Arabidopsis thaliana: one gene and its partner. The protein of the gene in region 1 interacts with the protein of each later gene in a pairwise test. Each region holds a gene or a part of one and is shown in the gene's direction. Other genes may lie near its edges. The genes, in order: AT5G50010 and AT1G29950.

Evidence for each region.
Region 2: the proteins of AT5G50010 (region 1) and AT1G29950 interact in binary tests that used the Arabidopsis thaliana proteins (3 or more experiments, as listed by UniProt).

Annotation. Positions count from the first base shown.
Region 1 is NC_003076.8:20,344,059-20,355,579, forward strand, and holds AT5G50010 (transcription factor bHLH145), read left to right. Parts: upstream 1-4,556; 5' UTR 4,557-4,625; intron 4,626-4,774; 5' UTR 4,775-5,172; intron 5,173-5,283; 5' UTR 5,284-5,380; intron 5,381-5,478; 5' UTR 5,479-5,497; coding exon 5,498-6,433; 3' UTR 6,434-6,772; downstream 6,773-11,521. Other genes in the region: AT5G50000 (Protein kinase superfamily protein), read right to left, coding at 1-55, 654-975; AT5G50020 (DHHC-type zinc finger family protein), read left to right, coding at 7,152-7,183, 7,475-7,571, 8,208-8,393, 8,784-9,083, 9,272-9,505, 9,581-10,066; AT5G50030 (Plant invertase/pectin methylesterase inhibitor superfamily protein), read left to right, coding at 10,608-10,793, 11,014-11,391.
Region 2 is NC_003070.9:10,486,390-10,498,863, forward strand, and holds AT1G29950 (basic helix-loop-helix (bHLH) DNA-binding superfamily protein), read left to right. Parts: upstream 1-5,308; 5' UTR 5,309-5,444; intron 5,445-5,585; exon of another isoform or gene 5,586-5,965; intron 5,966-6,046; 5' UTR 6,047-6,508; intron 6,509-6,676; 5' UTR 6,677-7,071; coding exon 7,072-7,827; 3' UTR 7,828-8,209; downstream 8,210-12,474. Other genes in the region: NRPA2 (nuclear RNA polymerase A2), read right to left, coding at 1-4, 101-281; AT1G29960 (Peptidase S24/S26A/S26B/S26C family protein), read left to right, coding at 8,424-8,549, 8,638-8,862, 9,176-9,286, 9,415-9,462; AGL64 (AGAMOUS-like 64), read left to right, coding at 10,341-10,898; RPL18AA (60S ribosomal protein L18A-1), read right to left, coding at 12,069-12,410; AT1G29965 (Ribosomal protein L18ae/LX family protein), read right to left, coding at 12,069-12,410.

The DNA of each region.
Region 1 (11,521 bases):
GACACAATCTCAGCTTCTGATCTATGACCTTCTTCACCCCAATCAAGCAACTTCACTGCTCAATTTCACCACAATGATTAGCTCATTTCTTCACTTTAAATTTAATAACAGTAAAAAAGCTCTTTAGTTACTGCATTCAAGGGATCTATTATTCACTCTTTTTTTCTTTAAAATTTATTTCATGAAAAAGAGAGATTGAGACAACAACAGCTGGAATCACATGAAAGATCCACAAAGCAAAAGAATCATAATTATCCAAGTAGAGACCTTTCAAGTAGCTGAAGAAACACTTATGATAGCAAAACCCGTGTCGGCTTCACGGAGATCACAAGATTTGCTTCTACCCTCTAAAGAAAAAAACTCTTCAAATCCAAAACAATTCAGCAACTTTAATCTTAAAAATCCAAACTTTTTTTCAATCTAACAAGTTTCATGGTCAAAAAACACGAACACAGAACTAAACTATTCAAGTACAAAGCCTGTTTCGGATCCGACATTTCAAGTACAAATGTAGTAATCCATTCTTAAATTCGAGACTTTAAACTAAACTTGAAGACTTTAGCATTATTTCACAGTTACAAACTAATAATATAAAATGAAAGGGAAAGGTTTCGATGAGAGAAGGAAGCTAGAACGACGGGAAAGTGACTAACCGGCAACATCTTGACCGTCGTAGATACCACGATGAACGGTACCAAAAGTGCCACGAGCAAGAACAGTCTTGATGATAAGTTTAGAAGGATCGATCTCCCACTCAAGTCTCTGTTTCCTCTTGCCAACAAATCCGCCGCCGTTTAGAGTGACAGGGGAAGAAGAAGCAGAGCCACCGATGGCGACGGCGGTTGTGTCTTCTTCATCTTTCTTCTTGTTCTTCTCTAAAGTCAAAGCTCTGCTTAAGTGTCTCTCTAGTTGCTCGTCTAAGCTTTTTAGATCAATCTGATCTGCTCGAACAAACCCATCCTTTCCTTCTTTCATTGTCAAGCAAAAGATCCTATGAATCTTTTTTTGGTCTTCTATAAGTTGTTGTTGATTTTGTTTCAACAAGTTTCTTCTCTCTCTCTCTCAGATAATCAAACGCAGAGGAAAATGGGAAAAGAAAATCATAAAAAGGGAAGATGAGAAGAGAAGAGAAGACCGCATGTGAGTGAGCACATGGTCTTGCCTCGACGCTAATGTATCTGTATTTACATTTCTTTTTTTCCTTTCATAAAATAAATACTTTTTTGTTTTGTATTTCCAAAAACAATAATCATCACTTATTATCAAAATAAGTGTTGGTACCAACCATTTTATTGACGAGAATAGTGAGTGCAAAAGTTTGGCCCATTACTCTGGATGTTCGGCCCATCAAAGATTTGAGCTCCCTCGTAAACCTAAATACAAAAATATTAGTATGTGAATTTCGACATCTACATTTTTGACGTCGTATGTGGAGTTTATCATACTTCTGATTTTGGTCTTTCCAACTTGGTTTCACATACTATGGATAAACTACTAATATAAATTGATGTTACGAAGTTAAAAGATATTAGGAAGAACTAAGCCGATCTTTCTCATCTTGATTTGATATTGACATGAAGATATCGGTTGTGGCATGTCTAAACAATTGGACATGCTTGTTACAACTCAGTGTGTGTTTGAAGTACGCTTTGATGCTATGAACTCGACCAACTCCCGAGTTATACTATGTAAAATATTGTTCTATTGTCAGCATATAGAGTATAATGATAAGTGGATCCAATCATGTCTCTTGACTTTTTTATTTTTTATAAATTGAACCAAATCTATTTTCACATACGCTTACACGTATGGGATACATATGATAATCAATTGATTTGAAGATTGAGGAATGGAACTTAGAGTGGTGGTTAAGTGTATTGGTTGCTTTAAATTGCACGAAGCGTGGATGATTTTGTTGGCGTATCCACGTACCAAATGGCTCCATGCATTGTCTGTTGTCCCTACCAAAACCTTCACTATTCTTCTTGAGATCAATATTAAATATATATATTCTCTCAAATAAAGCATATACACAATGGTGCTCTTCTTCTTTTCTCTTTTTTTTTTTATTTTAAATGTATTGTATAATCGCATGTTCGTTACATATTAACCAAATCAAATTAAAAGGTCAAATATAAAACAAAAGCTAGAATTTCTATGCCGAAAATATGGGAAATGAATACCTTTTGAAATTTGGGAGTGGCCATTAGAAGCTCCTCAATTTTATTTTATTTTCGCCTTTAAGGTGTACAAATTTCTTTTTAATTTAAAATTTAAAAATAATTAACATGATCAGCTCTTCCTCAACTATAACTCTAATTCCGTGTACTTAAATAGTTAAATTATACTATAAACCCACTTAGTTGCTTTATCTAAGAATTAAAGAATGTGAACTCATCTCCCATGCGTGTTTTCCTTTACTCAGAAGGAAATTAAATTTCAATATTCTCTGAAACCCATTACAAAACACGGTCATGCTAGAAGACTTGAAGTCGTGATATGTAGCATTTTTAATGCGTTTTGTGAATATATGTAAACTATATAGATGTTATATAAGTACTCTCGGTCCAACATTTTGGAGCACATTATACTATGATCTTGATATTCAGCCAGTTTATTATGTCATATTTTTCGAGAACATTTGTTGAATTGAAGAACATAAAAGATAGCAAATCAACATCTCATATATGTGTCTTTATCAAAAAAAAACATCTCATATATGTGTATTTTTTTTAACCACGCAAAATGAGAAGAGTGTTATTTTATGTGTATAAAAATGGTGGACCTAGGATATGATGATTGCTTTAGAGACACACAGAAAGAGAGAAACGGTGGAGGGTTTGTTTTGGGCCCCTGACACCATTAAAGCCAGTAAGGATTAAGTGTATCCACTTTTAATTAATCCTAATTTATATACTATACGGATTAGTAATATTATCCTAATGGTTTTTGTATAACTTAAATATTTGGCGTGGTAATATTAAATGTTACTCTGCTTGTATGATTGTGAGCAACCAGATCTCTCTTATCTGTACATCAAAGATTTGGTTCAGGTTACTAAATCATGGGTCTTCTACATCTATCACTATTGAATATAGTTTCAGATGTCTTTGATTGTCAATGAAAAATATCTTGGGTATAATTATTACTAGTCAGTGCCATTTTCTGACAAGAGAGAACGTGTCTGTTTCTTCTGGGGGATTAATTAGGTTTAGATAATTTTGGTATCAAGTTTTATGATTGATAATATACGATTAAGTCATTGGCTAACTAGCTAAAAAAACTTTTTTTGGCTAACTTGGTAATTTTTGGTGATGCAGGTTGTTCATTTGGGTTTCTGTATAGAAATTATCTCCTTTTTTGTCCTTCGAAACTTATCTTACAGTATCTAATATTGAATTTATATTTTCATAATATAAATTATTGTGGATTGGTCATAAATTATGATCTCAATAATAATGTTCTTATGTTATCATTATTTGTTTGTATTTTTATAAGTCAGTGAGTATGACTTGTACCGTTCCTACTTCTATAGTGAAAACGGAAGTCTTATAATGATAATGAAGCTTGTTTTTTTTTCTTAACACTTTAGTATATATAGAAAAATATACATATTTTGGAAGAGATTATAATAAAGAAAAGATGAAGAGCAATCAATTGTCTTGTAGGATTTTCCTTTCTTCTTGTTATATTTATCGTCACATATTTCATCGTTTTTTCACTATAAGTGCAATAGATACATTTTCCACGAAAGTGTTTTGGAGATCCATATGAAAATAGACCAACCAGAATGGGAAGACAAAACATAATGTGAAACCCAAAGAAGATGGAAATGGAGGGTGCAAAAAGGTAAAAAGTAAAAGTAGAAATGATTTGGGGTTTGAACGGTCAAGCCATTGCAAACGAGAGTATTTGAGAAATGATTGGACCTTCTTCTTCTTCACATTGGATACTTTCACTACTTTTCTTACTGACGATGAACGAAAGTACGAAACCAACAAAATACATAAGCGAGCGTCTTATAAAACATGATTGCATGAAGTAAGTATACTTTGGCTTCAAATGGATTTTTTTTTTTGTATAGCTTCATTGATGATCATTTTTATATTATGTGAATGATATTTGTGTTTCGGTGGAATTGAAAGATACTAGATTCCGTTAGCTGAATTTGTTTACATGTGATGAAAAGTGAAAGTCGACTGATTCTTCTTTCCAACCAAAACAAGCTATTTGGCATAATTTATTTTTCCACCAAATGGGCAAATGTATATCTTTTAGCCAAATATAAATAAGCCGAAAAAGCATGTTAACAACAATATGGATTATGAGTATATCTTACTAATTAGTAATTACATCGAGAAAAATAAACAACTATTTAGATTTTGAACCCACCAAATTCAGCTAATTTTCCCAAAAACATTTGTTATCGGATTTGGTAAACACTGTGGCATCACGATACCTAAACTTTAACGCACGCACGCATCTCTGTTATGATGAAGGTCACTTTCGTCTTTTTCTCTTGTATATATCTTCTTCCTCGCTAACTTCTCTTCGCCATCACTGAAACTAATATCTCTCTGCTTCCTCCTTAGAACTTCTATTTGCTTCTCTTGCATTCCACTTTTGTGAGTTTCTATTATCTTCAGTTTTCGAGATAGAACTTATAAACTCTGTAATAATATGCATTGTGCATATTTTTCTAGGTTAAGTTATTTGTTTTAAAGTGTTCTGTTTCTTGCTAGCACTAAATCTATTGCTCTCGTTTATTTTGCAGATTCATTTGAAGTAGTGAGATTGACTCCAGAGATAAAACAAGAAAGAGCAACAAAGCAACAGCATGCGGTGGTGGTTGTGTCTTTCTGCTTATGTTTTTCGTACAGTAGTAGTCTTCTGTCGTGTGATTCTGTAAACTGCGATCTTACTTCAGACATAGCTTTTTTATGTAATGGGGTCGTCTTTTTTCTTCACATTCCCTTACTTTGTCCGCCAAATTATTTAAGACTTCGTTTGGATACTCTGTTTTGGGAGAAGGAATCAGTTGGGGAGAAAGTAGTTATGGTTTGTCAATCAGCGGGACAGACAAGATTTCGTACACTCAAACACGAACACGGTATCACAGGAAACATTGTAGTTAGAGTCATTGCATGCTTTCAACCTCTCCAAGATTGCCAGGTTATTTTCTTGTTTGATGAGTTTATGTTATTGCAATATATTTAGATTTTTAAACCACCAGAACTTTTTTTTATTGATTTCGTTTTAGCTTTGATGTTGTGTATTTTGCAGGCTGAATATTTCCGTCAATTGTTGAAGCCCGTCACGTAGAGTAGCTCGATACTTATCGTTCTTGTTTCAAGCCTAGTTTCTTCTATCCATTTAGTTGGTAAGTTCCAGTCTTTGCACACATAATCTTTTGACCTCCCATTCTTGATTATAAGTAGCTGATTTGTTTGAGATGATGATGTCCTCTGTTTTGGATAGTTGATTTGTTTAGTGTTGGATGGGACAAGATCGTGGGTTTGGGTTTCCTACTCAGCGCTTGTGTTCCTTGTCTTCCCTAGCTCTGTCTCATCTCGGGAAGCAAGACTTGAATTTAGTATCTAAAACCTGCGGCGACACCACCGACATGTTTTCTACTCGTGGATCTTATCAAGTTTCTACCCAAGTCTCTCAATCCTATTTTGATGGGTATTGTGGATGGGTTCATGGGTCATCCCACCTACAGCAGCAGTTCTTGCCTCCTCAAAACCAATGTATGAAGCAAGTACCTCTTCAAGTAGACGGTGTTATATCTAAAGCTGAGGAACAATGTAGTCAGAAGAGGTTCCTAGTGTTTGATCAGTCTGGAGATCAGACGACTTTGCTACTCGCTTCCGATATACGGAAATCTTTTGAGACCCTAAAACAGCATGCCTGTCCTGATATGAAGGAAGAGCTCCAAAGAAGCAACAAAGATTTGTTTGTTTGTCACGGAATGCAAGGAAATAGCGAACCGGATTTGAAGGAGGATTCGGAAGAACTAAATGCATTGCTTTACTCTGAAGATGAGAGTGGTTATTGCTCTGAAGAAGATGAGGTTACAAGCGCAGACCATTCCCCAAGCATTGTAGTATCAGGCCGTGAGGACCAAAAAACATTTCTTGGAAGCTATGGACAACCATTAAATGCTAAAAAGAGAAAGATACTCGAAACCTCGAATGAGAGTATGCGGGACGCTGAATCGAGCTGTGGTAGTTGTGACAACACAAGGATTAGTTTTCTGAAACGTTCTAAGCTGTCTAGTAACAAGATAGGAGAAGAGAAGATATTTGAGACTGTAAGCCTCTTGCGCAGTGTAGTCCCCGGGGAGGAACTGGTGGACCCGATCTTAGTCATCGATAGAGCCATTGATTACCTTAAATCATTGAAGATGGAAGCGAAAAATCGAGAAGCATGAGGTTCTTTGTTTGTAGGATACCTAAGACATATTAGCATTGGCAAGTGGACTTGGTTTCTAAACAAAGTAGTAGACATATTGGACCGTGGTACTCTTGTCAAGCTACAAAGGGATCAGGTTGTTGCTAGTTGGAAGATAAACCAAATAATGTTTCGGAGTTGCAAGAGAAGGAATTGATATTAAAATGCAAATTGAATATTTCATATTAGTTGATGATTAAGATGGATTGCGAAATTTTAATTTCAGTCGTTTAGCTGTTTGTTATATCATGTAGTTGCTTCTTCTTTTTCTATAAGATTTTGTCGGTGTGGTTGTTATTGTTCATCTGTGAGTCGTGTGGCCGAGAGAATCATAAATGGGAAAGTTGAATAACCATTTTCAATGATAGGCCAATTATAATGGTAAACACACAATTAATTTAACTTTTTTACAAATGATTAAAGATGTTTGTTTTCGTGCCAAACAGACATGTGATTTGGTGGGATATTTGGCAGTCTTTTGTCAATATGGTAGCAATTTTTGCCTATTGTTTCATGATTAAGACTCTTATCACTTGTCATTTCCTGACTTTTGTGCATAGAACTAGTGACATGTGATATACTGTAGTCCCATCCAGTTTATAAGTTTTGAATACATGTCTCTAGCCATTCAGAATAAATCTTGCAGCTAAATGTTTTAGAAACCGGACCAGATACCGGTTCATCCCAATTTCAGCCACATGAACGATTCTTGGTCTGCAGGACCGGACCGGTCCGGTTTTTAAAACATTACAAAAATAATTTTATATGCGTAATAAAAAAATGAAGGAACAAAACTGTAATGTTCGTCTCGGGAGACACAATCCAGAAACGAAACGCCTTTTGTGAGAGAGAGAAGAGAAGAGAAGAGAAGAGAAGAGAAGAGAAGAGATCGCACCACACAAAAACTACAATTTTGTTTTGGAAATTACTCTCACCCACCTGAATTTTGTTGCTAGAGAGACAACACTTAGGTTTTGGGCGGAGTTCTGATGTGAAATGAATCGGCGTAGAAAATTTTCAGGATCCTCCAATTCGTCAGAGAGTGTAGCGAGGAGTGTCTGATCCGTTCGCTGATTCTAATGGCTGGACGGGTCTTCGAAGCCTGGAAGGGAAGTAATGTAAGCTTTTCTTTTTCTTTCTTAAGGCGTCTCGATTTCGCTTTACTCTTTTCCCTTTTCTGGAATCTACATTTAGGTTTTCTTAAAGGCGACATTTTTATGACTTCACTGTCCTAGTTTTAAGAAAAATAATTGCAGAGAAGAATGTTCTGAGTGGATTTGTTGTTTTGATGAGAACAATGTGGACATTTTTGAGGGAAATTGTACTTTTGTGTGAAGAAATTAGTATCATCATATTCAATTAGATTACATTGGTGAGCTTTATTGGATTCGACTGTATATGTTGAATTTGGTGGCTTTAAATTTCGAATCTTTTTCAACTCTATCACTGTTGATAGTGTCATTTATTGTTATCATTGCGAAGATCTAAGTTTGAACATATATACCGTATTTGTTAGATTTGGTTTGGTTCCATGCTGATGCATCACCATATTTACAACATTGATGAGCTTTCTATTCACTATTGGTTCACTCTCCAAGCATGAACTTGCATTTTTGGTGAACTCTATCAGTCTATTGTCAGATTTTGTTCAATGGAACCCATTACCACTTGTGAATGTAGCTTTTGATGCAATGCTCTATGCTGTATTTATTCTGAACATGATGATCATCTTCTCTTTTGTTGGTCTTTTGCAGAAGTTTCTGTTTGGTGGGAGATTGATATTTGGGCCAGATGCTTGGTCTATTCCTTTTACCTTCCTGCTCATCATAACTCCCGTTTGTTTCTTTTCTGTATTTGTTGCAACACATCTTCGCCGCGAGCTCTTACCAAACAATGCGGGACATGTGTTCTTAGTGGCAGGAGTTCTATTTACTGTCTTTGTAAGTTTTCTCCAATGCCCATTTGATATTTGATTTCTTGTTCACATGTATCTTGTATACCTTATAATCTTATCATGGGATATTATAGGATCTTATCAACTCTTTTATAAGTTTTGAATGTTGATTATATACATGCATTATAGTATGATTCACTTGTAATTATACGACAATAAGTTAAAAATCTTACCAAAATTTTGAAATCACACCTCAATAACATGTATCTTACTGTGTTTCTTGTTATGTTCTTTCCTCTAGCTTAGATATAAAGTTTGAAGTATTATTTTGAATGTTGTCACTTTTTGTGTGGCTTTTGGATTATGCTTTTTTTGGGCAGGTTTATTATTCTTCCTTCATTTATGTTTTTTTTAAAATCATGTAAATACTTAATAGGTACTGATCCTTCTCTTCCTCACTTCTGCGCGGGATCCTGGAATCGTTCCAAGAAATTCGCATCCGCCAGAGGAAGAACTATGCTATGATACAACTGTATCAAGTGATGGAAGACAAACACCCACTGTTCAAATTCCTAGGACGAAGGAAGTCATGGTTTATGGCGTTTCTGTTAGAGTTAAATATTGTGATACATGCATGCTTTATCGGCCTCCTCGATGCTCCCATTGTTCCATTTGCAACAACTGTGTTGAGCGCTTTGATCATCATTGCCCTTGGGTAGGCCAATGCATTGGAGTGGTAAGCTGATTCAAAAGCATATTAAACTGGGAAGATATGCAGTTCATAAGTTCTTATAAGCAGAAAAATGTGCAGGATTTTCTATAAAAGGATTTCATATTTTGAGGATCTGGTTTTTCTAGTTGTTGACAAAACTGTGAACTTTAATTTTCCATCTTGACATTTTGTTTTGTGTGTGTTGTGGGCAGAGAAACTATAGGTACTTCTTTATGTTTGTTTCTTCGGCAACTATTCTCTGCATCTACATTTTTTCGATGTCGGCATTATACATCAAGGTTCTGATGGATAACCATCAAGGTACTGTGTGGAGGGCAATGCGAGAATCACCCTGGGCGGTTATGCTGATGATATATTGCTTTATTTCCCTGTGGTTTGTTGGAGGGCTTACTGGGTTTCACTTGTACCTCATTAGCACAAACCAGGTTAGTTTTGTTCTGCTCAGGGTATGCGTTGTGTAAATTGTGTCCTATCTGATACCCAACATTTCAATTTTTCAGACGACCTATGAGAATTTCCGGTACAGATCAGACAATAGAATCAACGTTTATAACCGTGGGTGTTCAAACAATTTTTTTGAGACATTTTGCTCAAAAGTTAAACCCTCAAGGAATGACTTCAGAGCGTTCATCAAAGAAGAACCTCCAAGGAATATTACATTGGCTACCACATGGGAACGACCAGAAGAAGCAGATGAAGAAAACAGGGAGGAACGGCGCCAGAAGGTGGAAGACGATCTAGACATCGATGAAGATGTTATGAAACTGCAGCAGCGTTTAAATGACGAAGAGGGCAGCGATACAGCGCATCACAAGATCGATATTGACCAAATGAGAATCGGGTCTAATGAGAGAGCGCCAACAATTCGATCAGAAGCCAGGCATGGAAACTGGGGAGCAAGAAGCAATGCACAGGAGGAGGACGTAATTGCTGGTTCTTCAGTAAGAGAAAGTAGAAGCTATGCAGCTGCAGAGGAGGGACGGTGATGAGTGAACGATGGTAGTAGGGTAATTATTTTGAAGCTTTTTCTTTCTTACTAAGTTTTTATTGTTTTCAATTTTTCATTATTTTGTGGGTTTGGTTTGATTTGGGAGTTGTGAACACTATTTGTGAATAAGTTTAGTGTAAGCTTGGGTAGAGGTCGAATTAAGTTATAAGTAATCAACTTTTTGAATGTTTTGCCGTGATGATGATTTCTAATGATGATTTAGGTTACTCTGGTTTTTGCCTTAAAATAGACAGAACCACAGTTTTATTTTACTGTTTTTCTTTCTAAATAAAGAAAGGCGATAAGATTGAATATTTTTGTCCCCTGACCAAAGTTATAGGAACCATGACAATGATCTATTTATAGAGACCGTTCAAACTGAGAACACACTAAATTTTTTACATTCTTAAATTAGACTTGCCATTTTGGTATATATATGACCCAAAGTGATATTGCCTCAACCAACAAAAGCTAAAACCAAAATCCGATTTCCCCATACTTAGAGGTCAAGAGAAATAAAATATTTTTCCGGCGACGCAATGGCTTCTTACTCCGGTTGTTTCTTCGTCGTTACTTTGGCAGTTCTGTCACAATTTCTCTTAGCCCCAGCTTCAGCCTTGGTCAACAGGGAATACATCGATTCCAATTGCCAAAGAGTCAAAAACAAAGCCTTCTGCATCCAAACTTTGACCACCTATCCTCCTGCCGCTGCTGCCACCGGCCTGGTACTGATCATCTAAACACATAGTTATTCAGTAATAATTCTAAACTAAAACACATCTACATAGCTTTTGATGGTTTGTTTCGATAAGCGTCTATGGCAACATCATTTAAAAGGAATTCAATGGAAAAAGTGTGAAGAACCAACCATTTGTTTTAAGAAGTTTTTATAGGTGTTTAAAAAGTTCATTAAAACTTTGAAATTGCTTATGTTTTAATCTGTAGTTACCATTGGCTGAGGCCGTGGTTGGCCTTGCAATATCCCACTGCGAGAAGACAGCTGGTTTCGCAGCAGAGACAGCCAAAAAGGACGCAACATTGAAGACTCAGTTCAACGAGTGCCACGACGCCTATGTTGGTATTTTGGCGTCTCTAAAGAGCGCTCTACTGGAACTCAAGGACTCACCAGACACTGCCAACTACGACGTCATGGTTTCTGGCGATGATACAAGGCGTGTGAAGGGTTTGGTCGAGAAAAACACTGACACTGCTTCCAAGACGCTTATGGAGATGACACTGCAGATGGAGCAGCTTCTTGATCTCGCTGCTGGAGCCACCGATGCTGCTGACGACGACGATGAGAACTTACATCGTCGTGCTTGAAGTTTGAAACTAAGTTGGGTTTTGTTTTCGGTTTTCGGTTTACTTTTGTTATAAAAAAATATGAATGGATTCAAATGACATATATATAAATTTTTATATGTCACTGTCACTGATAATTGAATCTTAGGAT
Region 2 (12,474 bases), on another chromosome or scaffold:
CAAAGTATCATACTTGTCAAGGAAATCAGACACAACACAAACAAAAATTGAACATTACAAGAGCCATAGAGTAAATTCAACACAAAAAAAAAAAGGATATTGCTCAATTCATTCTCGGTGTTTGGATCGTAAACAGAAACGGGTTTGATTCGATTGAACATAACATCGAGTCCTTTCAGTGTCATGTAATCGAAAGACTCTATATGATGAGTAACGAGATTGTGAAGCTCCTTGAAGTCTTCCATCGTTGGAACCGTCGAGTCTTTCGCGTTCACAACCATGATTTAAGGTTTGCTCTCAAGCTAGGCCGGTTCTGAGGTTTGAGGAAGCTGAAATTAGGGTTTCGGAGGAGCTTTTTCTTGCCTGAGGAAATTGATGGAGAGGCGGAGAAGTCTGAGAGAGAAGGCGGCGCGAGAAAAAAGGGAAAGGGTTTTAGGAGTTTATTGAGTTTGGGTTTTACTGGTTGTCGATAACTTTCAAGTTTATTGCAGATATAATCCTCATCTTTAAAATGTTTATATTTCGAACCCTTAATTCTTAATAATTTTTCGAACGAGATTGGATACGGATTTTTACTATTTTTTGGTGAATTTCTCTATTGAACCTTAACGATATTTGGTGTTTAAGCTCACTAAAACAACGTTAATCAAGATCGAACAGGTATAAAATAAAAATACTATTATATCACATTTTTAAAAAGAGCAAAATTGATTTGCTACTAAAGCTAGTTAAGTGAAACTTTCGTGTATTGATGATATATTGGATGATGTGTTTGTTTGTTTTGCAAGATATAAGTTTAAAAGTGTGTATCTATACATACTGTTCGAAACTGATTTTTTGGGATCCACCGAGTGGTTGAATTATGCCGAAGATTTTTCGTTTGGGGAATGTCGTGTATGTTGGATTATGGTTATGGTCTTATGGATGAGCGCGATCAGACAATTTGACCGTTATAAAACAAAATTAACTAAAACTTTCGATCCGGGTCCTTTTTCTTAGCTTCTGGTTTGGGAGATGCATCAATGAGGCAATTATATGGTTTGGATGATCCTTGGGAAGACAACAATAGATTTTTCCTCGAAAAATTTTCGACGTGCAAGTTTGAAAAATGTTATGTGACTAGTCGGACAGTATTTACGATAGGAGAAGGGTAAGTATATTTTGCGTGAGTCGTGAGTTGTGTGTTGTGTGTGAAGCATAGTCTCATATTCAACGTTGGATCTCCATCCCATTAGAAACAACAATGAGAGGATCAGGATATCTATATAAGATCTCATATTTTCTACAATAATCATACCTTTACGAATATGATACCAACGTTGAAATATCACAATTCCAAAATTATGTTGTAATCCAAATGCTAACATGAATCTAATGCCGATTCATAGCTATCCAAAATGATCAAATTATGCAATAAACATAATGATATACACATCCAAACCATTTAAATGCAGTAAGACTAGTATGTAATGTTGTACCTTGCAATGGCTCGCATAATATTGTAGAACTCATAAATACTGTACTAGTTTAGAAAAACGTATCTTACTCTTGTGAATCTATTTTGTCATGCATAAGTTATAGTTATCCATTTTGATCATAATATATATATATATATATATAGTTAATTAAAATCCAATATTTTTGTCTGGACATATATATAAAAGCTTCTATTCCTTTCTTGGATCTACAAAAACCGTTCCTCGAAAGCATTGGCTTGAACATGTAAGATCTTAGCTCTGAAACGCATTCATTCTGCTGACTTACACTACGTGAGATTTTGTGTCACCAATTAGATCTCTAGAAGGGTATAACGCATTAACGCTGGACATCAATGTTGTGTATGTGAGATTTTGTGATCAAGACGTTCACCAACATAAACTCAAGTGTACATGTAGCTAGGCTTTGGTGTGTCAAAACATAATAATTTATTATTCGACCATATGATTTGACTGATTCCGTTTGTATTTGAGAGTTTATATCTTTGGCTTCCAACTAGTAAGAGTATCAGATGATATGATGATCACAAGGTAGCCATCAAAATCACCTTTATCCAACTAGTGATGTAGATTTTGAAAATTCAATCAGAACTCTCAAAAACATCATAATTGATTTCGGTCACCGGATTGACCGATTCTGATTGTATTTGAAAAAGTTTATGCATTTTATTTTTAACTTCTGAGAATGTAAGGTGATATAATAGTTAGAAATTAGTCATCAAGATCAATTTCTTCAGTAGCAGCAAGTTTTCATATTACGAGAAATAAGAGCATTTTCCATCCATAGCACTAACAAGGCCTTCCGTGAACACTAAATGTCTTATGTCAGCATTGAAAGATTTTCTTCAACACTAATACGCGTTTTCGTTAGCACTTAAGGACATTCCTCAACACTAATGGATATTTGTCACTATAAATGGTCTGTTGCCAATACCAAAGATCATTCCCAAAACACTAAAGTTTCATTTCCCTTACATTTCGACACTCGACAATTGTTATAAGCAAAAGGCAAACAAGGTACCAACAAGAATATTGATGACTTTGTAACACATTTTTTAAAAACCACACTCAAGCACTTGGTGTGTAACACATTTTTTTTACCTTCCAGTAAAAAAAATTTATACCTTACAAATAAACTTTTGTCTCTTGGTTTGTTTTACAAATTACTTACAACTGTTAACAAAGTTACATAACAACACTCCGTTATAATTGATATTTTTTTATTCCATTCATTTGCTTTTCGTCTAAACTTTTCTTTGAATCTTCTCACTTGGCACTTGGATATTCTCATACCAAAAATGCTTTTCGCTTTAGAATATTTTTTCCCTAAACAAGGCAGAAAAGGAACAGGTTTGACCTCCGTTGAAGTGTTGAAGAACACTTTTGCCATCCATAACAATGCTTCAGAAACGGTTTGGTGTTTGTGTACAATATTAGTTGCATTGTCTCGATTCTTTTAACAAGACTTTTTTTTTCCACTAAGACTTGGAACAAACATCCAGTACTTCAATCGAATGAGTTTTAACAGAAACATAATGATGGATTTAGAAAGAAGCAGCATCATGAGATTAACTATTTCGCAATGTGTGGAATGGTTTCCTTTGAAACTAATGCTGTCCATAATCATGATTTAAATTAAACCCACACGATTCGTATATATTATTTAATTTTAAACCTTAGTTACTTATTGCCAAATATCTACTTTTATTTTTCTCACCAAATATTCTTACTTGTTGTTTGTCGCTTACCAATCAAATAATAAAAAAATATTACCAAGCATACGCATGCCAACATAAACTTAAAATTACAGCTGAAAGTGAAGAGACAAGAATGATGAGTTTGGTTTGGAAATAATAAGTAATATTCTTTGGAACAAGTATGGGGTTGGGACAAGAGCCCAAAGAGAGAGAAGAGTGTGTCACTGTGTCGTCTCTAAAACTACAAATAAAAATTGTCAAAGAAGAGAGAGTTTGGTTTTTTGGTGGGAGCTATAGAGGTCCACAAAAGCTTTTCACGCGTGCTAAAGGAGCAACCAAACCAACGGTCACGATCAAGGCCGCATTAAACGGAAACCATTTGTGATTGTTTCATCCAACGGCTCACACTTTCCCTTGTTTGACTCTCTTCTGTCCATCCCCTCACGCGTGCTCCCTCTTCTTGTTTTTTTTTTTCCATTTAATTTCCACTATTTATTATTTTATCATAACATCTATTTTATTTTTATGTTTTAAAAAACTTTTCATTCAAGAAAATCCACTTACATAGTGATATACATGGGTTAAACACTGTAATCATAGTGTGTTCCATCTTTACAGAAATGGATAACATATTTTCTACATACAGTAATTCTTTTTTCCTAAAGAGAAGTTGTTTGAGTTTTTACTATCCACTTACATAGTGATATACATGAGTTTTTTAATAGACCTAATCTAAAGCATGACACCGGTCAAATAGAGTGATTTAGTAAATTTTACTAGATACAGTAAAAACTCTATAAATTAATAATGGTGAGCCATAAAATTTTATTAATTTATAGTGATATTAATTTATCCTCTAAATTAATATATATTAATTTACCGTATAAGTTAATAAATATTAATTTATAGAAATATTTACGTAAAGTACGATACTATATTCTTTTAAAAATATTTCTTAATGTAATTTTCTATATGCTTTGTTGTTTGCATATATAATTATGTTAGGTTTTTATTTTAATTTGACTTCTTTAATTTATTTTCGGTAAGATTTGTATTTGTATATCTACGACATTAACGTGAACGTAAACGTAAACATGAAAGTTAATCCAGTTTCTCTTTACACAAATCATAGTAATGCTTTCTCAAATAAAAGATTTTATAAAATCAACTATGACGGATCAAATACGCAAATAGTTATGTGAGTACAACAGAGATCATATCAGTTGTATTTTAAAAAGAGTTGTAATTATAGCTTGAACAAAAATTTCATATAAAAATTAGTCTTAAAATATATATTTAAGATCTATAATTATTAATTTATAATATTATTGGGACTATAATTTTACATAGGAATTTTAAAAAAATGATTATCTTATTATTTTATTGATTTTGGTTAATTTTTATATTGGCACAACTTGGAACCTACAAAATTTATTAATTTACCGTGTTTATTAATTTATCGAGTATTAATTTATAGAGTTTCTACTGTAATAGTAATATCCACTTTTATAGTTAGATAGTGAAATAGTTAAAGAATTACTTATGCCGAAAGAAACAGATTAAAGAAACTGAACATTATGAAAAGATTAAGAAACAAATATTTTGTTTGAGAAAAAGTTAAGAAACAATATAGGTATCACGACACTCTTATACTTTGTTGGATTTAAATAACACTACTAATAAAAATGTGTCATCTTTCTACTCCAAGATTTTTTTTTATCTAATCTAACAAGTAAAAAGACATATTTTGTCCAAGCTTTTTACCTTTTTATCTTGGATGAATCAAATTAATAGGAGTGCATTTTTTTTTTTTGAAAATTCCAAAAATTTGCGGTAAAGTTAAACATCTTTTTGCTCCACATTTGAAAAAACAAAACAAGTAGATTCACGCACGAAAAGCGTGAAACGAAATTATTAACTTTAAACAATGTTTGTTTGTGTAGTGACTAGTGTAGTGTGTGTGAGTGAGTGATTAAAGAAATGAAAATGGGCAAACCAAACGAAAAAAAACAAACCGCACCAGAAAAAGAAAGCCACGCTCGCTCGCTCTCTTCTCCTTATTTCTCTACCCTTCCCTTCTCTCTCTCTTTTTGCCACACACATCATTCTCTCTTTAGATCTTCTTCTTCTTCTCCTCTGTAACAACAAAACAAAAAAATCACTCTTTCGAATTTGATCAGATTCTTCTAAAGCTTTAGTTTTTACGCATCACCGATTCATTTGATCCAAAGGGTTTTTGATTTCTTCTACGGTATGAATGTTTTCTGCTTCTTTCTTTCTTTATACCGCCGCAATTTCTGACTTATTAGGACTTATATGTTTTTTCTTTGTCTTGTAATTAGTACTTTGACGGTATCTCATAAATAGCTATTTTATGGTTTATCAGATGATTGCTGAATTTGATTTTTCTATTGAATGTTCTGTCTTGTTTATGTTTGTTTGTGTTATTATTAATAAACTATTCATGATCGCGTAAAGATTCTTTCTTTTAACAAGTCCAATTCTTTTGTTGAGGTTTTGTTTCCTCTATGTGTTCTGTTTTGAAGCAGAGTTGTTAAGTTATTTTGATTTTGGTTTGTGATCATGAAATCGAAAAACATTTATTCTGGATCCGATGTTAATGTCTTTAGTCATGATCCTATCTTTTTGTTTGTTGTACGCAGATGCCTAAAGTTGTGCTTTTTTATTATCTGAATCAGGAATTAGAAATTTCCCATTTTTTTGTTTCTCTGTTTTGTTTTGCCAGTAGTTATTTTAGGATTCTACCTCGAAGTTAGTGCCTTTCAACTTCCTATACTGAAAATATATTAGTATTTGAATAGCGTTGGTCCTAATTTTTGTTTGTTTGTGCAGAGTTTGTGAGAAGAGGAACGGTATTTAATACACTTACAAATTTGATATTGGAAGAACCAAAGATGCCCTGGACAGCATTCTTCATGTTTTTCAACAGAACTTGCACTCGTCTGGTTGTCTTTTTCCTCGTTATTCTGTAATTTTGTTCCTTTCAGGTGAGCCAGCCTCTCATTTCACATCTTGTGTTTTTGTCTTACATTGGTACCTTGTGGAAGCAAATTTTGTTGTTGCCACCTTATATACAGCTTCTTGTGTTAAAACTATTGGCATCTCTTCCTTGTTTTGCAGGTGTTGTTTCCGGAATTCGGAATAGTTCTTTGTTGTTGTGCTTATTATACTGGTTAGTTTGTGAGAATGTGCATTGTTGGAAACAAGAAGGGAAACCGATCATTGAAGGAAATAGGAACTTTTATGATGACTACATGTTTCATTGCTAATTACCAATCCGTTCAAGTTTGCCAGGTACATGCCTCTCTTTGATTTAGTATTTCCTAACACTTCTATCGCTTAGGCAACACTGATTTATGTCATTAAAAGAACTCTATCCTCTTGATGACATGTGGATAGCTATTTGTTAGAGTATTAACCATAGTTTTTCTGATATTCAACCTTTCTTATAAATCATTGCAGGCTGAATATTTCAGACAGTTGCTTAAGCCTGTAACGTAGTCTAGCGTCTGGAGTTTTCGGAAATTGGGGTTTTGAGCGGCTATCTACTTTTGATTTCGAAAAAATTTACTGTGAGTTGTTAAAGAGTCTGGTATTCTGAAGAGCTGTCTGTGGGGGAGCTTCTGGTTTGGGGGGTAAGGGCTCTGGTGGAAACTCGTGATATCTTTAGTATGATGGCCATAACTTGATATAGCATTTGGTTCCGTGTGTCAACTTAGTGTAGTAGTAACTGAGCAGCTGGAAGCTTACAAAGGCGACAAATCGGTAGTAGAAAATATTCAAGCAGCTTGCAGTTTGAGGTGTACAACTTGTTTTTCTCTTTGCGTTTCCTTTTTTACGTTTGCACGGGTTTTCTGATGCAGAACAATCAGTTTCCTCACTTCTCAGATGAAGTGGGTGACAGAAATATGCACAACCCGTATGCATCAGGGTCATCCTATGATGCTTTGTTCCCACCATGTGCAAAGTTGCCATACCATGGTGTTGAACTTCAACCGTCTGCGGTCTGTCCAAAGAACTTTGTCATCTTCGATCAAACATATGACCGCAGCCAAGTGATGTACCATCCTGAGCTGACTCATAAGCTCATGAATACCCCTTCGTTGAACAATTTAGCTTCGACGTTTCAGAACGAGTATGTTGGGGGAAGTTATGGTAACTATGGTAACTATGAGCAAGAAGTATCCTCTTCTTATCAAGAAGATCCAAATGAGATCGATGCTCTCTTGAGCGCAGATGAAGATTATGAAGAGAATGATGATAATGAAGGTGAAGAGGATGGTGGTGATTCAGAAGAAGTCAGCACTGCTCGTACTTCTTCCAGGGATTATGGAAACACCACAGCAGAATCTTGTTGTTCCAGTTATGGTTACAACAACAACAACAACAACAACTCAAGGAAGCAGAGTTTATCGGGCAGTGCTAGTAGTAGTAACAATGATGGGAAAGGACGTAAAAAGATGAAGAAGATGATGGGAGTATTGAGGAGAATTGTCCCTGGAGGAGAACAGATGAATACAGCTTGCGTTCTTGATGAAGCTGTTCAGTATCTCAAGTCACTTAAAATCGAAGCTCAGAAACTTGGCGTTGGACATTTCTCAAACCAATCTTGAATGCTACCGATATTCGGTTCTTCCATCACTATTGTTTCTCGGGAGGTAAATCATCGGTCTAGCGCTATCTGGACCTTTCTCTTTATTTTCCTCCCTCTATACTCACTTCCTTTTGTTGGCAGGATGGTATCTATTTTATGTTTGAATCTCTCTATGTATTTTGCTTTTTGTGTGTTACTGCTTCGATGAAGAAGCAAGGTTTGAACAAGTACTTGTGGATTTGATTTGAGATTTTAATTTGTATGGTTTTACTTTCACTGTAATCATTTGACTATGAACTACAATTATCATTATGTATTTGCTTCTACATAGTTTTAAACATTTGGTCTTCCTTCTACTGAACAATGTAAGGGCCATCATTTTGAAAAGTCACGCTTATACCATAAAACGGGTCCTATACGTAACCAAAATTCAATTTCTGATGGAAATTAACTGGGTTATTAAATAACCGGGTTTATAAATTGGGTTATGATTACATTTTATTTTACACAGTATAGCTCAACGATTCGTCTCAAAGCTTCACACTTTCGTGAAATCTGCAGACTTTGTGTAGTTCTCAAATCTCGATTCGTTGGATTCAGTTGAAGAAATAGGCAATGGCGACTCCGTCGTCGTCTTTCTGGAACACAGCTTCACGAGAAGCCATGAAAAGCGGCGTGTTACTCGCGAAACTCTACTGCTTTCTTCATGTAACAACAAACTATCTCGGATTCATGGCTTATGTGAGTCAATCGAAATCTCTCTTCTTTTTTGGTGTAAATCGAATTCGTTATTGAAAATTTACCATAAAGATGTAGTCTTTTTGAGCAGGCTTATGGTCCGAGCATGACTCCGACGCTTCATCCTTCGGGAAATGTGTTATTAGCGGAGAGAATCTCGAAGCGGTATCAGAAACCGAGTCGTGGAGATATAGTTGTGATACGATCTCCAGAAAACCCTAATAAGACTCCAATTAAAAGAGTTATTGGTATTGAAGGTGATTGTATAAGCTTTGTGATTGATTCAAGGAAGAGTGATGAATCTCAAACCATTGTGGTATGTTTTGTTACTTAACCTTCTTCCTTGTTGACTTCACTTCACTTTGGTTTTGCTTATGGATGAGATTTTTGAATGTTGTACTTAGAGAACTGAGTTTGAAGAAGGTAGATACATTGTTGAGAAATTGAGTGATCAGAGTTGAAACAAGTTGTTAATTAGTATTGAGCTCGATTTAGCTGATTGCAATTCATGGAAAATTTTGAATCTTTTAGCAACGTTAGTGTTATTGGTGTATATTACAATTTCCTTTGGATTGTTTAGTTTGTTGGATTAATGGCGAATTGATCTTTCGATGTTTTTTTGGTTTTAGGTTCCTAAAGGACATGTCTTTGTTCAAGGTGACTATACTCATAACTCACGAGACTCAAGAAACTTTGGTACTGTACCTTACGGTCTTATTCAAGGCAGAGTGCTTTGGAGGGTATAAACTTTTTGTCATTAACTTACAAATATAGTTAGATTATCTGATTTCGGAACTTCAAATGTGTTATTTGCATTTGTTTTGGTAAATCTATTTGGCTAATCTTCGGTATGTATAATAATGTGTAGGTTTGGCCATTTCAAGATTTTGGACCGCTTGGACCAACCCCAACTTAGCATACGAGTTAGCTTGGTCATTAGGCCAATGAGATGACCGAGGCAGATTGGTAGTATGGTTAATCGTTGTTGCCGAGTGAGTCTGGCTCATGACTGACTATGAGATGCAGGATCATCATACCATTCACGAAGATGGGAGAATCTAAACGCTCAGGAAAAGTGAGTATATGGTTTAGACTTGAGAGCACGTAACATTATGTATTTTTGGTCTGACGCTGTATGTGAGAGTCGCCTCTGTATCAAAAAGTTAAAACAAACATCGAATGTTTTGTGTGAAGCCAAGATTATTCATGGGAAAATCTTATAACCATTTAAAAATACTACTTGATCAATAGCATTTCCCCACATTTTAAAGATTGCTCTATTTTCACTTAAATCAATCATGGTGATACCAATTGGTGGTAACGTCAAGTTTGTCAAGCCAAACTGTAGGGATTTTCTTAATTGTGTGTCAAATAATTTTTAAAACAATCATTGTGATTTATTTTCTGTTTTCCCACATATTTGATAGTTATTTAAAATCGTAGTTTCGACTATCACAATTTTTACCAATTGGTTATAAAAATTTATATAGTCAAAGTCCTTACAAAAAAAGTTTTTCCAGTCAAAGTCTCTACATCCAACATTAACAATTGTTATCAATCAACCATAACTATGCGGATAATCAATATTACCAACCTTCCAAACATTAATCTAAGAATTGACTAACTTTTATGCAATTTAAATTACTACCATTTTTCCATCTATATAAACCCTATCTTGCACCCACAAAAAAAACATATTCCTTGGCTAAAGCCAAAAACAGCAAACAAATACTTAGTTTAAATTTCTCTTATTTTTTTATAGCCAATAAACTCATAATTTTGTTTTTCTCCAAAATGAAACCCAAGAAAACCAAAGGAAAACAAAGGATTAACATCAAGAAAATTGAAAAAGACGAAGACAGATTGGTCACATTGTCTAAGCGTCGAAATGGTATCTACACTAAACTCAGTGAGCTTTCCATTCTCTGTGGTGCTGAAGTTGCGTTTCTCGGGTATTCTTGCTCTGGAAAACCATACACATTCGGCAGTCCGTCCTTCCAAGCCGTGGCAGAGCGGTTTCTCAACGGCGAGGCCTCGTCGTCTTCTTCATCATCGTTGCAACGATCGGTCATGAATGCTCATCAGCAAGCGAAGATTCAAGAGCTTTGCAAAGTATACAATAGATTGGTGGAGGAGATAACGGTGGAAGAAGTCAAATTAAAGAAGACGGCTGCATTGGCGGAGATGATGCCCATGAATGAGGATGCGTGGTGGAAAGTGGATCCAAATGACGTGAAGGATCGCGAAGAGGTGAAGAAGATGATGGAGAAGCATCAAGAGCTCTATGAGAAACTGTGCGAGGAAGCTGCTTCAAGGATCAAGAGAGGACATGATGAGAATAATAACAAATGATCCATAATCAAGATTTTAATTAGTAGATCATTTGTGATCATCACTAGTTAATTATGAGTCTTAAGAATTATGTTTTTTTTTTGTCTTTTGTTTTTTATACATTATGAATTGTTATTATTTTCTACAACATCCAGTCATGGGTTAATGAAACCGAAATATTTTGTTTGAATAGATGTCATCTTTGAGTTTAACAAAATCTTATCAAAACAGAAAGAAAAAAGTATTATGTAGTACTATAATACTCTTCAATTTTTTATTTTTTTTTATCAGGTGAACGACCTGTGTCCCCATGAGAAGTTTCATATACGCTCACAACTCCACAGAATTCGGACCTCGACTCCAATCTACACCAAATGAAAGTTCCAAACCTCAGTTCCCCTAAATCAAAAGTTCAAATCCTCGGTCCACAAAATTTTGAATTTTGTGGTTTATCGTTGGTTTATTGTACCCGTGGAACTGAGGTTTGGAACTTTCATTTGGTGTGGACTAGAGTCGAAGTCTGGATTCTGTAGAATTATGAGCGTATATGAAACTTTCTACGGGGACACAGGTCGTTCACCCTTTTTTATGAAAGATAAGTCATGAAAGATTTTGTAACATATTAAACTGTGTGAAAAATGCTGCTACAAGTATTAAATAAGCCCATATGCTTTTGGCCCATATAGGTTTAGTTGTTTTGTAATTTTTTAGCCTGTCTTCTGATTTTGTTTAGAAGAGGGATAAAGTCATCCAAAGATTGTTCACTCACTTTAGCCGATTAGATTGGTTCGTCCGGGTTTGGTCCTAATGAGCTAGTAGTCTCATATGAGTCGTCTAAACCAAAGCTCTAGTCTTCTTCACGTTGTTCGTTCATTTCATGGTAGATTCTAATTACATTCTTTTAAGAGGATATTAGTTTAAGCTCTAATCGTACCGTATTCATGGATTAAGAAAACATCTACAATGTCCAACAAATTTTAGAACGGGGATCAACGCAGACAATTGGGAAACCTAACTAATAAAAATGAACAAGAAAAGCCAGAATCGAAACCAAGAGAATGAATCATAAAACTTCAAGATTCTACCCACAAAATTTTAAAAAGCCAAAACCAGCAACTTCGATCCCTCAACAAGTATGAAAAGTCAATTACCTTATGAATTTATGATAGAAAAATGAGAGAGCTTCTAGTTCTACATAAACAAGTTAGGCTTGTTGGCCTTGAAGGTAGTCTTGAGCTTTCTGGTGGGAGGTCTAACCTTCCTGAAGACCAACGGGAACTTGATCTTGCTGTTGTGAAACTGCTTCGTGCTTTCCCTCTTGCAGAGAGAGGCTGGGACTGTTGCTGTCTTAATAATCTGAATGCAAGGGAACCTTACTCTGTGTCTTGACGCCATCTCAGTGTACATTTGCTCCACTGCTCCATTCAAAGTAGTGTCACGGTACTCTTTGTACATGTTATGGTAACCTGTACGGCTCTGGTATCTCAACCAGATTCCAAAATTCTTGATCGTTGTTGGGTTCTTCTCAAAGATCTGTCACACCAATTAGTCATTTTAAGAATCAAGCAACACGAACGACAAAATATTTTACAGAATC